Caenorhabditis elegans: one gene and its partner. The protein of the gene in region 1 interacts with the protein of each later gene in a pairwise test. Each region holds a gene or a part of one and is shown on either strand. Other genes may lie near its edges.

Region 1 (7,279 bases):
CTGTTCCAGTATTCGTCGTATTTCCGAACAAACCACCTGGCTTTGCTGCATTGTTTCCAAACAATCCACCTCCGGTATTTGTGGAACCGAAGGCATTTGTAGTTGTTGGCTGAGTGGCTCCAAATGTGAAGCCGGTACTTGTTGCAGGCTTCGCACCAAATAACGAACTGCCAGTATTGGCTGTCGAAGTATTTCCGAAGAGACTTCCACCGGTGTTTGCAGCAGCCGGCTGACCGAAAGCATTTGTCGCCTGAAAATTAATAAAATATTGAAATTCTAGGATATCTTAACTCACCGCTGGGGCACCTCCGAAACTGAATCCACTCGATTGTTGCTGTGGTTGTTGCTGAGCTTGGCCGAAGAGTCCGGTACCAGTCGTCCCCGTGTTGCCGAACAGGGACCCAGATTGATTTTGATTCTGTGTATTCCCGAACAACGATCCACCAGTATTCGTCTGTGGTTGTTGATTGCCGAAAAGAGACGATCCAGTTGTCTGACCGAATGTTGAAGCTCCTGTTGTAGCTAAGTTTAAGGTTAAAAATTGTGTTGATGCTAGATTTATTCTTACCTGTAGATCCGAACAGTGACGAGCCCGCTGGTTTAGCTCCGAAAAGAGATCCACTTGCAGCAGACGTGTTGGCGTTGTTGTTACCGAACAATGAACTTCCAGTGTTTGCTGTGCTCGTGTTCCCACCAAATGGAGATGACGTCGAAGCTCCCCCGAACAGAGAAGTCTTCTGTTGAGCATTACTTGATCCAAAAAGCCCACTGCTTCCAGCTTGGTTTGTTGTGTTGGATGCTCCAAAAAGCCCACCGCCAGTGGAAGTCGTTCCTGTTCCGGGAGCCTTTCTATTTGCAATGTAATCCTCCACTCGGAGCTCTTCAATACTCTTTCCATCGTACTTCGACATTGCAGAAATGCACATGTGCTTCGTGGAAATTGTCTGAGTTGTCCCATTTCTCATCATAGTATCAGAACTGATCGGTGGCTCAAACTTAACAGTGGTTCCAGATACGGTCGATGCTGAAGCTGATACAAGATTAATTTATTTATCGAAAATCAATTGTTTACCTCCAAAGAGACCTCCACCAGATGGTGCATTATTATTGGAACCAAAAATGCTGCTGGTTCCAGTATTGTTAGCGTTGTTACCGAATAGGGAACTGCTTGCGGGAGCTGCTGAAGAAGTTGACCCAAAGATACTTCTGTTGGCATTGTTCTGCCCTCCACCGAACAATGAACTCTGGTTGTTCTGAGGCTGCTGCGGACTTCCTAAAATATTAAAATAAATCAAACGCATACAATTATTGATCAAAATACCGAATATGCTGGAAGTGTTGCTGGCCGCTCCGAAGATTGATCCTGCCGGCTTGTTCTGTGCCGCCCCGAAAAGGCCAGTAGTTCCACTGTTATTGGCTGGCTGACCAAACAATCCTTTGTTTTGATTGTTCTGGTTGTTTTGTCCAAATAGACCGCTCCCAGAGCTGCCACCGCCAAAACTCGATGAGCCGAATGATTTGTTCTGGCCGAACATTTAGCTGAAACTTGCAATTGATGAGACGGTTATAGATGAAGCGATGAGCAAGTAATAATTTGCAGTGAATGAAAGGCGGTTGTCATGAACATTCTGCTAAGAGCTGTCACAAGTTTTCATACAACCAAAAAGATAGCATTTACTTGAAAATGTACTTTAGGATTTCCAAATCGGAATTACTCTACACTCAAATTGCACGCTAATGCGACTAGACGGACATTGATTGATTGATCAGGTTACAGGTACATATTTATGACTGAAAATGTGCAAGAATAACACAAAAAATGGGAGAACAACTTCTACAACCAAACTCGAGATGAAAAAATGAGCGAAATGATTTCGAATGCAAAAATTTTTTCGAAGTGATTCTGAAATCGCAACAGAGCGAGTTTGCATTATACACCCTGCGTCTCTTAAGTTCACACACTGTCTCACTGCGCGAGGGTTTTTGACAGTTCTCGACAAGTCTTTTATTTTTTCCCGCAATTCGTGTTTTTTCGTGGGGTTTATTGGAATAAACTGTTTTCCATAATCGTTCTAAAGTCGGTCTCCACTGAAAAACTTTTACAAATGCTTTTCTTTTCAAATAAATTGATTTTTACATTTTTTCTTTCAGATTCGGCAAGAAAATCTGGTTCAGATGCTCAAATGCCATAATCCGAAATGGGTAACACGTTAACTGGACGTTCGAACGCTATCGCACCGATTATCAGTGCGGAAGATGCTAAAACTTATAGTGAGTTTCAGGGATGTTACAAAACAAACATAAACTCAAATTTTTAGTATCGGACGAGGAGTATCGACGAATTCGCCAAGCTTTCCAACGCTTCAAAAATGGATGCATTAATTATGACGTAACTGTTTTTAATTATTTTTTTAACTTCACCATTTAAGGAATTCTGCTATCATGTTCTCGGAGGCGCGCAGATACCAGAAGAAAAACGACGCCTGCTGTTCAGCTTCTTCTCTCATGGCGCTGAAACCATTTCCTTTGACAATTTGCTTTCATCTCTTGTTGGATTGTGTAGAGTAGAAGAAGTACAATCGAGTCAGTCAAGAAACATTTCAGAAATAATATTAAATTATTTATTTTCAGGGTTTATCGAAGAATATCACGAGTTCGCGTCATGGGGATTGAGTCCTCCTAAGCTTACGATTCCGCTCAATGATTCCTATATCTCATTTTACGAAGTGATGTCTTATGTGACGCATTGTAAGATTTAAATTATCTTGATTTCCGTATTTCAAAAACCATTTTTCAGTATCCGTGAACGAGGTTATCGAGTTAGAGAAAGTGTTCGCCACGATCAGTGATCGAGCTGTCTGCAAACTGAATGAAGAGAAGTGGAAACAAGCATTGGGTGGATGCTTCCCGGATAGTTATGCTGAGAGATTATTCGCTGTTTTCGATGAGAATCGAGATGGTCAAATTGACTTCAGAGAGCTCGTTTGTACACTTTCGGCTCTTTGTCGTGGACCTCTACCAGGGAGAATTTCTCGTGAGTTTTTAAGAAATTATTTTGAGAAACTAAAAAGTTGTTTTAGAGTTGGCACGAATCTGGGACGTCGACTGTGACAAACTTCTGTCTGACGAAGAACTTTCTAACATGTACAAAGATCTTAATGTCCCAGAAGAACATCAGACTGTCACAAAATCATCGAATGGGAAATCTGCTCTCGTTGATTTTGGAATATGGGCACAGGAAAACGAAAAATATGTCAATGAATATTATTCTATGGCTCTTCAAATCGGACACATTTGTCTCGGATTGAGACCAGAGTCACGGAAAATGGAATTACAAATTGTGAAGTTAGTGTAGCTTTCAATTCTCAGTTTAAATAACTTTGAATTTCAGCGAATTTGAAAAACGTGCCTCTGAGCTTCCACTTTCCGAGTGGAACATTGTAGCTTCAGGATGGCATGCTGAGCTCAGATCCTTCCTGGAAGCAGATAAAAATCCGAATCCAATCGATAATTCTGGTATCAAGGGAACAAGAGAAGATAGCTGGACCAGCAAGGTTTGACTTTCTAGTCCGGAAAAGTAAAGAATTAATTAATTTTCAGGTTGCTTGCATTTCAGCTGAATCAGCTCGTCTGAAACCCGATCTTATTCCATCTGACTACATCCGAGTGCCTGTTCCACTTTGGAGAGCATGGCTCCGATGGCACGGATGTGCACTGACAGTAGATTCACAATTCACAAGAAAGTATCTGGATGGTGAATTCTTTGAAGACAACAAGCCCGCTCTTGAACTGTATCCACTCGAAATTCTCCTTCTGGGCCATGATCGTAAGAAGAGCCAGGATGGTACAGAAAACACTCCAAGATCCTTGACATCCTGGGCGTGTGCTCAAGTATCACGAAGTATGACTGTGGATGAGCTTCTCGCGCTGTGCAAGACAGAACTTCGACTCGGAGATGGAGACGCAAGGCTTTGGCAAGTTGTGAAGGAGAATGAAGAAGGAAATGTACTTTTGGACGATGGAGCACAAAATCTACATCAATTATACTCGTCACTAGGGAAAACGAAAAAAGTGAATAAAATGAAGCTTTTACTGGAAGTACGAGAAAGAGGAACAGGAGTGTGGCCAGAAGAATTACGAGCATCTCTTTCCGGGAAACAAATCACTGCTGCTTCTACTTTATCCTCGAATGCACAATTGTCAGGTAAATCTTTTATTCGACTTTATTAAAAGCACATAAATAGTTTATGTTTTTTTTCTCAAAAAACAAAAAAATCGCAATTATCAAAAAGCTCTCATTGTCAATCAATTCCCATAAGATTCTTCAGGTCGCCCAGGAGCAGTTGGTCTTGTTAACTACGGTAACTTCTGTTACCGTAACGCCGGAATCCAGTGTCTTGCGAGAGTTTCCCCACTCACTCAATATTTTTTGGATGAGGATAATTTGGATGCTATCAAAAGAGGGAACTTGAGGCGAGGAGATGCGGCAGAGACGACAATTGAGTATGCGAAACTGCTCAGAGAAATGTGGGCAGCGAAGAAGAAAAATATTGCTCCGAATGATTTTAATGTGAGTTTTGTTATTATAAGTTGAAAATGAATTATTCAAATTTATAGGATGCTATTCGATTGAGCTCGGATATGTTTGAATGTAGTGAGCAGCATGATTGTCAAGAATTTGTAGCATTCTTGCTGGATCAGCTTCACACTTCAATGTATGAATCTAACAAAAGTCTTCATCCATCTCCCGAAGAATCTGAAGGAACCGATTCAAATAAATTGTCGGATTCAAGCAAAAAGAAAGAAGCTGATAAAGAAGAAGCTGATGAAGAAAAAGCTGAAAGATCATGGACGGAGTACGAAAAACAAAATGAGTCACTCGTTACACAGCTCTTCACTGGCCAACTCCGTTCCCGCCTAATTTGCCGAACTTGTCAATCGAGCTCGAGTGTCTTCGAGCCATTCACATCGTTGTCGTTGCCAATTGGATTTGAAGATGTTGATTTGTATCAAGTTATTGGTAAGAATAACACAATTTGGTTCACCAAAATATGGAAATTTCAGTTGTACATAGAGACGGGCGAATCCCGCGTCGCTATGGTTTCCGATTGTCACGTGACTCGAAGGTTGGAAATCTCCGGGAAGTGGTTGCCGTATCAAGTGGAATCTCGATGTCACATCTAACGATTCAGTGTATGTCCAGTAAAGGAACGCTTATGAGCCGATCCCCAAATCATCGAAGTTCAAACTTACGCGATGAGCTGCCGCTGAGTTCATTCCCTTCTGGAGCAAGACTTTACGCTTTAGAGCTACCAGAAAGTACAGGTGAAGATCAGTGGCGAGTTGCGATGCATAGGAAGCTTCAGTATAACCATGAACCTTACATTCTTGGTTCAACTGCCGGATTCATAGTATCTCGTTTTGGACTTCCTTTGATCGTTGGATTGGACGAAGAAGTAACTGGAAAGAAATTATACGAAGATGTAATGTATCAAATGCATCGATTTATGGAACACTCTGTGAATTCCTCCTCGAGTAGAGCTCATGATCCATGTGAAGATGAGAATTCAGGATATCCATTCACTTTATGTTTGGTTGATCCGAATTATGAATGGTGTGGGCAATGCCCGGCTCTCCGATTCTGCAGAGGATGTCCAATCCGTCCAGATGAGAGCAAAGTATTCATTCCTGCCAACTGTCCGATTGCAGTGGATTGGCTTCCAATCGCTCTCTACCTTCGATACAATCACTCGCAGGAGCAAGCATGTGAAGATGATCCTTCAGTTGCCGAAACTTGGTCAAGGCACTTTGCTCCAAGCTCATTGGAGCACTGCATTGAGAAGTTCTCATGCCCTGAGACACTTGACGCAGCAATTCAATGTGACCGTTGTGAGAAGAAGACGATGAGAGACAAAGTGATGACTATTTGGAAGCTTCCGAAGTACTTGGTGAGTGGCTATGGCGCAATTTTTATTTAAAATTATTAAAATTTCAGATAATTCATCTCAAACGGTTCGAATTTCTCCGCGAACAAGGTCGAATGGGAAAGTGCAAAAGAACGGTGAATTTCCCGTTGAAGCACTTCGATCCAGCTCCATTTGTTGACAAGCCCGACGGAAATACATATGAATGCATCGCACTCGCTGTAAGAAACTTATACAAACTTAAATTTCTTCAAAAATTTATGTTTTAAGAATCACTATGGACAACTATCCTGTGGACATTTCATAGCCTATGCAAAGAGCAATGAGGACAAATGGCTTCTGTTGAATGACTGTTCGGTTCGAGTAAGTTCAAGGTTTTTATTATAATCAATTAGTGGAAAAAATTTCAGGAAGTATCTGAAGAAGAAGTTGACAAACAAGGCGCATATCTTCTGTTCTACGAGAGAAAAGATGTCAAATAATAAATAAATCTCCATTTGCTACAAAACTTTAAGCTCAAACTACCTGGCCATCTATCTAAGAATTCTAATGACAAATATCGCTTGATTCTATTCGCTTTCTGGTTGTTATTCTTCAAATGTTTACTGTAAATATTTATTTATTTCAATTTATGTGCTAGTCACCTTTTCCCGTACAGTTTCCATAATTTTCCAATGCTTCACTTCTTTCTACTACCGGATGAACTTTTTTTAATTGTTGTGTGTTATGTACTTCTCCCTTCTTCGTTATATCTTCAGAAATTTCGGTCTTTTTCTCAATTCCAGAGAAAAGGTGGCGCAATAGTTTGGGTGTGATTTAATTTGCCAGTCGATTCACGGAAACTTCGAAAAAAAATCGTTGCAAGAAAAAAATTGCAAGATGCTAAACTTTCGATTATAAAAACTGCACTGAAAACTTTAATCTGAAGCTTTTGGGTTACTGTAGTTGACTCTGTAGTGTCTGGATTTTAACAAATAAGAAATCGTTTAATTGTGTGGATCCTGTAGAAAGAATCGTAATTTTGCATTAAAAAATGTATTGCTTGAAACATTGGAAATTCTGAGTGGTTATCACCCGTTAATACACAGAAATATTAGAAAAAAACAGAAAATTATAGGAATTGAGATCAATAGAATAAATAAAAGCAAAATTTCAAGAACTTCCTAACAAATCAACAACTCCAAATCCACTTTTTCTCTCCGAAGAAGATTTTTGATTAGTGATAGGAATTTGAACTATTGTTGATAAAAGTGCTTCCTGCCACTGAGAAATCAACTGAAGAGACATTTGTGGTACTTTTGGATCAGAAAACATAACAGCTTCTATTTCAGATTTTGTTCTTTTAACTTCTGGTT
Region 2 (4,774 bases), on another chromosome or scaffold:
GTCATATAATCAAAAGCTGATATGTTCTAATCTTCTACTTAATCTTTAGCCTGAAAGATATAAGCATGTGTAACGTAAGTCAATGTTGCAGTTTTTGAAGGAATATTCAAAAAACAGGTGGAATTTAGAAGCTCTTTTAGCATATGAAAAGTTATTGGTTCGAGTACTTTTGCACCAGGGGTGTGCGGCAAATCTCAAAATTTGCCGAGCTCGGCAAATTCGGCAAATCTACTTTTTTGAAATTTGCCGTGCTCGGCAAATTCGGCAAATTTGCCGAGCTCGGCAAACGGCAAATTCGGCAAATTCGGCAAATTTGCCGCACACCCCTGTTTTGCACCCTTACTAATAATTAATGATGGGAAAACTGAAAAACTCCATACTTCCATATTCTGAATGTGTCTATAAAAATTGCTAATAAGTCTATAACAAAAAAGAGAACGAGACATAAACACAGAAAGTTTGCAAAAATGAGCATACGAGTCTACTTCTTGTGCTCGGGGGGCTCCAAGCAAAAGCTCTCCCAGAAGACGTTTGTCTTCTCCTTTCGTCCTCGTTTTCTTTCCCCCTTCTTCTTCGTTTTCTCAAAGAGGAGGCGAATAGAGCGAGGAATAAGCGAAACGACGACTGCTGAGGACTATGTGCTCTGTCAGAATCGATAGAGAAACGGGAGAAAAAGAAGGGAAATGCCGCGGCGTCAGGGACGTGGAGAAGACGTATTACGAATTGCCGGGGTCCCTCTTTGTCGATTCTGTGCACTATGCACTCCTTCCGCTTTGGTGAACATTACGAACAATTCTTGAAACCGTTTTTTTTCTTTTTAGGAACAGTATAAAAATAGGAATCGAACAACAAATTGGGCAAAATGGGGGATCTATCGGAACGAAATAACAAGATCCTCAACATGTGGGGAAACAACTGAGGAAAGATCGAGAGGAATGAGATAAGTTGTAGAAGAAGAAAAATAATTTTAAAAAACAAGAAATGAATTGGCGAAAAATCAAAATTGGAAAACCGAGTCGTTGTGCGGATATGAATGGATATCACTTCTTATTTTTAGGTTGTCGCATCTCTTCTTCGGCCTTTTTCAACGACTCCCCACGATCCATGAACAATTTGGTACAACGGTCCACGTCCTCTACCTGAATAGCGATTTATTTAATACATGAACTACAACATTCTGCAACTTACTTCAATGACCTCTCTTCCACACGTTTGAGCACAAAGACGAGCTGGAGCAATCAATTGTAACGCATATCTCAATGATTTTTCAGCTCCAACTTTACTTAGAAGATCAAATGCTTTTTCTTCGAATTGAACATTTTCAGCTTCGGTACGATGAACGAGAATCTTCCGGATGTCTTCTTCGTTATACTTCATCGTTGGAATAATCATCAGCCGATCGAGCATTTCTGGAGGAATTCCATGTGGTGCCTTATCGCCGAGTCCACGAACTGTTGTGGTTCCACGGTTAGTTGCAAAAACCACGACGGGTGCCATTGGGGACTCGAGCGCGCGATAGAGATAGGTAAAACATTCTACGTCAAGCATATGAACCTCGTCGATGAAAAGAACACCAGGCATTAGTTCAGCCACTCCACTTTCAATGTATTCGTTGACTACTTTGTTGATTTCAGAACGAAGACGATCTAAAAGACAGAATAAAAATTGAAAGGTTCGAGTTTTAATGTTTATCAATCACTCACCAGTAACTTCAGTTTTCTTTGGAGTCATCAGCTGTGAAACAATGTTACTAACATCTCCTTGACGTCCTTGTGGACGGGCATTTGCGATATCCAGATCATGCAAAGACACGTTTTGAACAATATCTTTAGACTTTCTAACATCTCCTTTCGGCATTGGCACAAACTCGTCAGCCTCGAGGTCAAACTCAGATGCATATACATCACACCGTCCAACTCGTTTAACGATTCCTGAGTTCGCTTCAATATAGATGACATCACCAACTTCTACTCGTTGCTTCAAAATCGAGTCATAGATGCTTGGATCCAATTTCAGTTGCTTGCTTCCTTTTGCTGTTTTCAAAGAAAGGACAAGATGAGAGATGGTTTTTCCCATTCCGGAATTATCTGAAGCTTCGACGGGGCTCAACTCTGTAACTTCTCCCTCGTACACATCTTTGGTTTCCTTAACACGCAGACCAATAGCTCTTCTGAAACTTCTCATGAGCACTTCCGTTTTCTTTACTTCATTGGAAAAGACCTCGCTTGCAACAAGTGGCACAAATGGAACGCCGTCACCCAACTCCTGTGACATTGCAAGCGCGATTGCAGTTTTTCCAGTGGCGGGTGGTCCAGCAATCAATACAGCTCGTCCGGCCATACACTTCAATCGAATCATATCAACTACAATTGATGCAGCTGTTCTGGCGGGTGCTTGGCCAACGAATCCAGCAGCCTGTAGAAATAATATTTTATTTAGCATAGGCTTTATTTCATAAGTAGTTATTGAAATTGGACAATTGAAAAAGAAACCTCATAGTGAGCTTCTTGTGTTTCTGTGTCAATTCCGAGTCCCTTGACGTGACTGTGAGCCGCAATGCGTTTAATTTGCTTTGGAGTTGGTTTTACCTGAAAAATTCGATTTAAAATACTAGGTTTTTCAAAAATTAGCTCACTTCTTCGATTGGTGCAAGTCTTGAAGAAGAAGTACCAGATATTGCCTCATCGACTTCCATATCCATTATTTTACGAAAGCGTCAGCGTGAAAATAGAATGAAAAATAGAAATTTAGGGAAAGAAAATAAAATTCGAAAATGTGTGCAGCCATCTCATTTTACGCACAAATGCAGACAAACAGCAATGGAAGGAGACCCGAAGAACTCGGGGGATGTCCAACTGGGGGGATTACCAACTCGGGGGATTGGCCCCGCCCACAGAACCGTGGCTTGCATTACGCCCATTTCTGCAACTGCCGCACGGTTTTAAAACTGTATTTTTCTCAATAGAGCGAGAATTAACAAGAAAAAATAATTTTAAAACCGTGCGGCAGTTGCAGAAATGGGCGTATTGCAAGCCACGGTTCTGTGGGCGGGGCCAATCCCCCGAGTTGGTAATCCCCCCAGTTGGACATCCCCCGAGTTCTTCGGGTCTCAATGGAAGGGAAAGAGGAAAAAGAGATAATATTCTTATTTGAAGTAAATGTCAAATATAAGCCGAGAGTAACTTTTCTAAATAAAATGAATTTGCGAAAGTTGTATAATCACCAATAGAGATCCCAAGAAATTAAAAATGGCATTCCATTCGGGAACCTGTTAATGTAAAATAGCAATGTACCTTTAAAGTACGGTAGCACAACTTTGAGACAATTATCTGGAATTTGTCCCAAATCCTGCTCCCTCGACAATCCTTCGAAATCGAATATTCTGTCTCAGTTATTTTTGGAACAATGGCTGCGCTTTTTGAAGAGAATGATTCTTATTCGGTGAGTTTCTGGATTAACAAGAATAAAGTATAATTCAAGAATTTTAGGATTCCGAAAATGAAGAAGATTTTAGCGGCTTTTTGAGTGAAATCGAAGAAAATGAAAACGAGGATGAATTTGAAAACGACGATGAGTTTGAAGACGATGATGAGCTTGAAAATGTGGATGAACTTGAAGATGACGAATTATCCTCTGAAGAAGTGGACATCCCTTCCGAAAATGAAGTAATTGTCGAGCTTCACGATGGTCAAGGTGAGCAGTTTTATAGTTTTTTGCTCTTTTTCTGTAACAAAATATTTTCCAGCCGAAGTGGAGGAATCACTTCTTGATGCTCTTCTTGGAAAAGCATTGGCAGGAGATCAGATGAATTCTCGAATTGAAGGACTCTTCGAAGACTTGGACTCTTCAGTTGAACCTGATATCATCGATCGCAGCGAGTTAGAGGATGTGGACAGTGGTATTAGTGTTGGAGCTGTTAGTTCTTCCTCTGCAGAAACTCAAGCTTCTGATGCGAAATGCAAAAATAAGGATGCTTTCGACATGTCTTCACTTAAGAAGTATATGCAGTACATCACCGAAGAAGAGCATGCCGTATCAGTAGAAGATATTCCAGATTTTGCTTCCAAAAAGTAGGTCTTGAAGCTTTTCTGAATATTTTCTATTTCAACTCTTCATCCTTCCAGAAATGTGTATGGAACCAGCTTCAACGTTCGCAACGGAATCATGTCTCGTCCACCTCGTTTCGAATTTGCTCGTCACGATCAACGCTGGATCGATTCATGTGTATCCATGGCATACGAGAAAGACAAGACATTGAAAGAATTGATCACACTGGGAAAGTTGACAACAACTGTCAAGGCTGGAGCCAAAATTGAATTCAGAACCAAATTCACGGATGTTCATATTCGAAGTGCGGATGAAATTAACTTGATGGAGACACATGACATCCAACAGATAATCCGTGATGCATTGAATTCAAAGCGTCTCGCCGTGGTTCTCTTTGGTATTGGGAAAGACGGAAAAGTTACTGGATGCCACATGGGTCCTGGTCAACAAGATAATCTGCGTCTTGCTCTGGATACTGCTGTTCAAACCGAGTTTGCACCTCCAATTGAGAATATTCTCGACGTAGTTGACATGAACTTCGTTCCAGTTGAAGAAATGGATGAGACGTTTCTGATTGTCATTCGAGTGAAACAACTCCGTAATCAAGTCTATCGTTTAGAATCATCTGTTTGAAGTTGTTAATCTTCTGTTTTTGTTTTGTTCGTTGTTTCGCTTAATATCGCCTCCATTATATCTGTATCATGAAGTTTTGTACCAATTTCTGATT

Evidence for each region.
Region 2: the proteins of cyk-3 (region 1) and ruvb-1 interact in a two-hybrid assay, tested with the Caenorhabditis elegans proteins (one large-scale study listed by BioGRID).

What each region holds. Positions count from the first base shown.
Region 1 is NC_003281.10:6,018,014-6,025,292, forward strand, and holds cyk-3 (Ubiquitin carboxyl-terminal hydrolase cyk-3), read left to right. Parts: upstream 1-2,145; 5' UTR 2,146-2,198; coding exon 2,199-2,271; intron 2,272-2,318; coding exon 2,319-2,389; intron 2,390-2,429; coding exon 2,430-2,583; intron 2,584-2,631; coding exon 2,632-2,748; intron 2,749-2,797; coding exon 2,798-3,034; intron 3,035-3,080; coding exon 3,081-3,345; intron 3,346-3,391; coding exon 3,392-3,554; intron 3,555-3,600; coding exon 3,601-4,204; intron 4,205-4,319; coding exon 4,320-4,570; intron 4,571-4,617; coding exon 4,618-5,020; intron 5,021-5,064; coding exon 5,065-5,948; intron 5,949-5,995; coding exon 5,996-6,145; intron 6,146-6,194; coding exon 6,195-6,287; intron 6,288-6,334; coding exon 6,335-6,406; 3' UTR 6,407-6,646; downstream 6,647-7,279. Other genes in the region: npp-10 (Nuclear pore complex protein Nup98), read right to left, coding at 1-250, 296-522, 569-1,024, 1,073-1,273, 1,322-1,535; tbx-7 (Putative T-box protein 7), read right to left, coding at 7,077-7,279. UniProt on the Caenorhabditis elegans protein: Ubiquitin-protein hydrolase which cleaves ubiquitin from ubiquitinated proteins. Plays a role in embryo osmoregulation.
Region 2 is NC_003283.11:9,977,996-9,982,769, forward strand, and holds ruvb-1 (RuvB-like 1), read right to left. Parts: upstream 2,808-4,774; 5' UTR 2,702-2,807; coding exon 2,636-2,701; intron 2,589-2,635; coding exon 2,493-2,588; intron 2,416-2,492; coding exon 1,704-2,415; intron 1,647-1,703; coding exon 1,189-1,646; intron 1,140-1,188; coding exon 1,041-1,139; 3' UTR 796-1,040; downstream 1-795. Other genes in the region: tofu-1 (Schlafen-like protein 1), read left to right, coding at 3,406-3,441, 3,489-3,693, 3,746-4,070, 4,125-4,680. UniProt on the Caenorhabditis elegans protein: Possesses single-stranded DNA-stimulated ATPase and ATP dependent DNA helicase (3' to 5') activity suggesting a role in nuclear processes such as recombination and transcription.